Linked DNA regions of Caenorhabditis elegans. The protein of the gene in region 1 interacts with the protein of each later gene in a biochemical or structural test. Each region holds a gene or a part of one and is shown on either strand. Other genes may lie near its edges. The genes, in order: his-51 and nap-1.

What was found.
Region 2: the proteins of his-51 (region 1) and nap-1 are reported together in a solved structure, tested with the Caenorhabditis elegans proteins (one study listed by BioGRID).

Annotation. Positions count from the first base shown.
Region 1 is NC_003283.11:8,848,999-8,851,802, reverse strand, and holds his-51 (Histone H2A), read left to right. Parts: upstream 1-1,631; coding exon 1,632-2,015; downstream 2,016-2,804. Other genes in the region: his-52 (Histone H2B 2), read right to left, coding at 968-1,339. UniProt on the Caenorhabditis elegans protein: Core component of nucleosome. Nucleosomes wrap and compact DNA into chromatin, limiting DNA accessibility to the cellular machineries which require DNA as a template.
Region 2 is NC_003282.8:8,377,160-8,381,137, reverse strand, and holds nap-1 (Nucleosome assembly protein 1-like 1), read left to right. Parts: upstream 1-1,818; 5' UTR 1,819-1,826; coding exon 1,827-1,952; intron 1,953-1,997; coding exon 1,998-2,165; intron 2,166-2,196; exon of another isoform or gene 2,197-2,318; intron 2,319-2,350; coding exon 2,351-2,518; intron 2,519-2,564; coding exon 2,565-3,053; 3' UTR 3,054-3,433; downstream 3,434-3,978. Other genes in the region: praf-3 (PRA1 family protein), read right to left, coding at 158-255, 655-864, 1,050-1,148; D2096.7 (ELYS domain-containing protein), read left to right, coding at 3,508-3,690, 3,737-3,827.

The DNA.
Region 1 (2,804 bases):
CTGGTTGCATTTTAGGATTCAAGAAAGGCGAAATTGTAATTACTGGATCAATTTTTTAGCTTTTGATATATTCAAATAAAACACATTTCTCACATTCCTCTCGAACTTGAACTTGGAAAGTAAAAAAAGAGTTAAATAAGAACTTCAATCATTTTGAACTTGTGAGTCGCTTTTTTGACTTTTAAAATTCTTAAAGACGAAGAAACCAGTAATAATTTATCCATATGATTGATTTTATTGAAACTACTGTTAACTGATTCTTTTTTTCATCCAAACATAGAATTTCTAATGGGAGAAAGCGAATTTCCAAAACTGTATTGAGTTAATTACAGAATTAGTAAAGAGGGTAAGAAAAAAACTCAATTTTGGTGCAAGTTAGGAAAATCAGTTAATCGGTATGTTTTCCAAATCAGAAATCCATTCAAAATCTATGATTGTCTCTAAGAATTTCCAAGAATCAGTAAAGAGGGTAAGAAAAAAACTCAATTTTGGTGCAAGTTAGGAAAATCAGTTAATCGGTATGTTTTCCAAATCAGAAATCCATTCAAAATCTATGATTGTCTCTAAGAATTTCCAAAGATTGAAGTAAATTTTGCTTTTTTTCAGTTGAAAACAATAGTTTTAACTATGAAACCTGTTATATCTTGAAGAAAAAACATATATATTTGTTGAAAAAATATCAAAAAATTTTTTATACTTTCAGAAAATATGATTAAAATTTCAGTTTTGACCGGAGGTACTCTTTTGAAGGCCGTGGTCCGTTGCGCCTCGGGAATTTAGAAATTTATTTCATTGGCAATTATTTGATCAGATTTTAAATAAGAAGAAAAAATAAGAATAATAGTGATGAAGAATGAAGAAAACTTTATTTCATTAAATAAACTACTAATTGAAAAAGGATTTTAATACATTTGTGGCCCTTAAGAGGGCCGTTGGGTTCGGTGATTTGCTTTCAGCAATTGAATGCTTACTTGCTAGAGGTGTACTTGGTGACAGCCTTGGTTCCCTCAGAGACGGCGTGCTTGGCAAGCTCTCCTGGAAGAATCAAACGGACGGCAGTTTGAATTTCGCGAGAAGAGATGGTGGATCTCTTGTTGTAGTGAGCAAGACGAGATGCCTCAGCAGCGATACGCTCGAAGACGTCGTTGACGAAAGAGTTCATGATGGACATAGCCTTGGAAGAGACTCCAGTGTCTGGATGAACCTGCTTGAGCACACGGTAGATGTACACGGAGTAGGATTCTTTACGGGCATGACGTCTCTTCTTTCCGTCCTTTGGCTTGGTGACGGTCTTGGCGGCTTTCTTTGCTCCTTTAGCAGACGGCTTTGGTGGGGCCATTTCGATTGATTGGACTGGTCGTTGGACAAGTGTAAGGAATGGGTTGTTGGCCATTACCTTTATAACAATTTTTCGGTGGGAAGGAGGAGCCTATTGACATTCTGTGGGGACACCTTTCTATGCTGTCTCTCATGCCGAATGTACAAAGTGCATAGTTTTTCTTGGTCACTCTGCCACTTCCCCCATCTGTCTTATCTCTATGTGCCCGCCTAGTCACCGCAGCTGTGTTTAAAAGGGTGCTGTCTAATGGTCTTCTTCAGATCGTTTCTACATCTACCAACCAATCATCACCATGTCTGGACGCGGAAAGGGAGGCAAAGCCAAGACCGGAGGAAAAGCCAAGTCCCGCTCATCAAGAGCCGGACTCCAATTCCCAGTTGGTCGTCTTCATCGTATTCTCCGTAAAGGAAACTACGCTCAACGTGTTGGAGCCGGAGCCCCAGTTTACCTGGCTGCTGTTCTTGAGTACCTCGCTGCTGAGGTTCTCGAGTTGGCTGGAAACGCTGCCCGTGACAACAAGAAGACCAGAATTGCCCCAAGACATCTCCAACTTGCCGTCCGTAACGACGAGGAGTTGAACAAACTGTTGGCTGGAGTGACCATCGCCCAAGGAGGAGTTCTTCCAAATATCCAAGCTGTTCTTCTTCCAAAGAAGACTGGAGGAGACAAGGAATAGATGCCTTCTTAAAACATTTTACCGAACCCAACGGCCCTCTTTAGGGCCACAAATATTTCAAATCCTCTATTGACTGAATAAATATATTATAGTATTTCAATTTTTTTTTTGTACTTTATTACTAATTGAAAATCTTTTCAACGTTTGCAATCAAGAAACTTCTTCTCGAAATTAGTTGATTCACAAAAGAATTTTTAATGCTTTCCAATATTTTCTCTTACAATTGTTAATCAAAATTGGACTTCTTCATTAAAAATTCAAACAAATTGGCGCCAAATTCAAAGTTGCTCTTGAATGGCTGAACACTATGATTTTAGAGAGAGCCCTTGATATGATGTATTTTAACACGCCTTGTTGGAGTTCTCTCAGAAGTATACTTATAGTGACGTCACAACACATACAATTGATATAATGTGTTGTTTATCCCACTTTACCTATGAATCTCATCAATGAATCTCACAACCACCCCCACCCACATTTGGCCACGGACTTGTTCCAATCGGTCATCTTAAATTGTTTCTTCCTCTCCCACTATTCAATCGTTTGTTTTATATTTTGATTTTTGTCTGTAATTGATTACTTTATTTTGAAATTTTGAATGGTTGAGAAGAAATAAACAAATAATAATTGTGGACAGACCTGGAACTTTTTAAGATAAGCGATTTGCGACGTCACTAATAACATTTGTCGTTTGGTCTGTACTGCACTCTTTAGGGGCAAATATGCGTTCAAATGTATACTTTCTGAATAAAATGCATTTTCTTTCTTTCTCATGAGATCATATCAATG
Region 2 (3,978 bases), on another chromosome or scaffold:
AGCAAAATTAAAAAAAAAACACATTAAGAATTTTATTTTTTACAGTTATATTTGATTATTAAGTCCATTTATAACTGCGACAAATTTACATTAAATAAGAATATTGTCCACTTATGAAAACAGTTTTACAACATTAGTAATTTTTTATAAAACTTACGCAAAGGCAACCACAAGAACGGATTGGAAGACAGAAATGAAGAAATAGGCAACGAGAATTATTCCTCCAAGAGTGACCAATGGATGATCCGTGCGCATCTTAAAACTTGATTTTTTTTTGGTAATTCTTGGTTTCAGTAATTGTTTTTGGACCAATTTTATGTGCCATCATGTTTTAATCTATATTTTTCAATTATTTTTTTAGCTTTAACTTGCAAAAAAACGATTATCACAACAATAATTTTCATCAACGAAGTGCACAAACTGTTACGTGAAACATATGTTAACTTATCCTATTCAGGTAAACGGTAAAAACGAGCTCTTTTTATTTTTTACGGTGGACATGGCTTAATTTTATGCTGCTGCGTTTTGCATCTGAAACTTGAACTTAAACTAATTTTGAATTCCAAATTCCAATAAAACTTTGTACCTATCAATTCCGTCAACAATTCGAATTTCTTATCAATATAAAAACATCACATTCCCGTCAATCATTACCTTTTTGATATTTGCATCAGCCGAGACAGCAAAGATTAGAGTTGCAATTACGGCGACAACGGCGATAAGACCGACGAAAATGTCCTGGCTACTGATGAACGTGTGCAGAAGGAATAAAGTGATGATTGTAACAAAGTAGTTGGTTTGAAAGTACAGAAGATTCGAGATTATTCGATTGTTCCATTTCTTGAAGTCGTTAAATGGTGGACGCTGAAAATCAATCAATTGGATTTTTATCTTTTGAATATTGAAATAAAAAACTCGATTATTTTTAAATTAAACTCTAAGTAAAAATTTTAAACGACCACTTTAGTCAAACTTCAACATATGTAAATATATTTTCTACAAAAGTTGGCCCTTCTTTAAAAATATATGTAATAACAATTCAAGCCTACCTCGTATCGATCGGTTTCCAGCAGAAACTCGTGAAAATTTCTGAACGGTGGCACTTCCACGCCATTCATAATTTGCATATTTTCTGAGGACGTCGTCATTTTTCCCTGAAAATAACAATGAATTTGAAAACTCGCTAAGATTTTCGGAAGTTGAAAATATTTAAAGTAAAGTGAGAAGTTTTGTGCTGAACGGGGGAACATCTGGCGTCGAATGCTATGTGTAATATTCTAATAGCTTAAGGAACTTCGAGAGAATCGAGAAAACGAGAAATATGATTCCAAGATGTGGGTTATTTGAAGAGCTATCAAATTTTAGAATTTGAAACGCAAAAAACTGTTTATTTAAAAAAAAAAGTGCCTACAATTAGTTTCAAATGCAATCAAATTTCAGGAGAATTTACTATCATAACAAATCCATACTTTTATAAATAAAAATCAATACAATTATTATATGTAAATCACCAAAACAAACCAGAAAACAAACGACAATATGAAAACATTGATAAAAAATAATATAGGCATGAAAGACCATCTCGTAAATAATAAGCTTGTGTGCGCCTTTAACCGCGGGTCTCACCGCGAAGAGACATTTTATGGAGGAGGAGCGAAGTGGTTGTTTGGAAAATATATTTTCAACTCTCGTCCTATGATTTTAGACAGCACTGCTTCGTTTCACAATAATTTTACAGATTTTTTCTCGAATTTTCGAAAATCATCGTATTTTTTTGCTTGAAAGAGTATGCCAAAATCATCTATTTATGCTTTGTAGGTAATAAAATGGCTGATCAAGAGCATATTGACGCTGGACTTCTCAGCACCAACTTCGACATGATTCAGGCTTTGCCTCTCAATGTCAAGCAACGCGTCTGCGCTCTCAAAAACCTTCAAATGAAGACAATTCAGGTTAGTTTTCTTTGTTTATGTTCTTAAGTATATAATTTATTTCAGATTGAATCTGACTTCTACAAACGTGTTCACGAGCTCGAGATCGAGTTTGAAGGAAAGTTCAAATCCACTTTCGATCAAAGAAAGGCTATTGTCGCGGGAGAGGTCGAGCCAACTAAAGAACAAATCGACACTCCAATCCTCGAAGGACTCGAGGGAGATCAACTCGCTGTAAGTTCCTAATCAAGATTCCCTATATAGCCTGCAACTATTCAAGAGATTTGCCTCCCGTGGGGCACGCCTTTTTTCGTTGCGAAATAAAACATGTCCTTTATTCCCGCTCCTGGATTGTGTTTCTTGCGCGATGATATGGCTATGACAATTCCAGCTTATTAGTTGACATTTCTTTGTTTCAGGAATTGTACAAAGCTGCGGAGGCTGACCCATCAGCAAAGGGGATCAAGGATTTCTGGCTCACCGCTCTCAGAACCCATGATCTTGTTGCTGAAGCCATCGAGGAGCATGACGTACCAATCCTCTCATATCTCACTGATGTGACGACCGCCGCTAGCAAGGATCCAGCCGTAAGCGCATTTCATTGTTTTCGAAAGTTAATGTTTTGAACTTCAGGGTTTCAAAATCGAGTTCCACTTTGCCACCAACCCATACTTCAAAAACCAAGTTCTTACCAAGACCTACTTGCTCGGTTTCGACCCAGATGCGGAGGCACCACTCCAATTCGATGGACCACATGTCATCCGCGCTGTCGGAGATACTATTGAGTGGGAAGACGGCAAGAACGTCACCAAGAAGGCTGTCAAGAAGAAGCAAAAGAAGGGAGCTAATGCTGGAAAGTTCCTCACCAAAACTGTGAAAGCAGATAGTTTCTTCAACTTCTTCGAGCCACCAAAGAGCAAGGACGAGAGAAATGAAGATGAGGACGATGAACAGGCAGAGGAGTTCCTTGAGCTCGACTACGAGATGGGACAAGCTATCCGTGATACCATCATTCCACGTGCTGTTCTTTTCTACACTGGAGAACTTCAATCAGACGATATGTTCGATTTCCCAGGAGAGGACGGTGATGATGTGTCAGACTTCAGTGACGATGAGGCTTAAGCAGTATCGATGGACCACTTATTAATTTGCCAATTTTTGAAATTATTAATTTTCCATTTTCTTTTTTAAAATTTTTTTGATTATTCCCAACCCCTTCACATAATAGGCGGAAAACCGATTGTTGCTGTTACTTGTTGTTGTCGTTTATTCCCTGACCTATCCATATTCCGCTTCTCCCAATCTCTAAAGATATACCTGAAAACGAGTTGTCGTCGAAATACTTGATACATGTTGTCTTCATCCTGGTGTATGTTGTTTCGCAAATTCTTCATACTAGTTATGATAGGATTTGAATGAGCTGGCACGAGTCGACTTTGAACTCGAATTTCAATATTTTCGTGATCCTGCATTAAGTGATGAATAAAATCCCTTGTTGCGAATTTCAGTCCTTCTGAGGTCTTGCCATCTGGAACATCTTTCAGGAGAGATCGTCTATTTCAAAACCCTCTGCATTATGTTGGACGGCTACCAACTCCTCTTAAAAGCACAGTGCTCGGAATCGCTAGACTTGCTAGGACTGTCACAAGCAGAGATATTGATTATCATCGAAAACGAAAGACGATATGATGTGAAAACTCGTCTCTGCGAGAGGATTGCTTTTTTAATTTACCAAGACTCGAACTTTGGACGTTTACCGGTATCACCCAACACATTCCTTTCAGATGTATTTAATTGTTCTTCAGCACAACTCTTCGGAAGTTTTCGCGTCCATCAACAGATTATGTAAATCAATGCCAACTGGTTTTTCATTTGAAGGTAGATATTCAAATTATGGTAATCTTCTTATTATTATCTCAATTATACAGTTTGGTGTTACCTAAAAGTTCTAGTCTCAATAGACAAATACTTGTTACTTTCCCAAAATATTTGAAGAACAGAAAAAGTATTTGCACACATTTTCGAGTTAAATGTCGTCGGTTTTTTT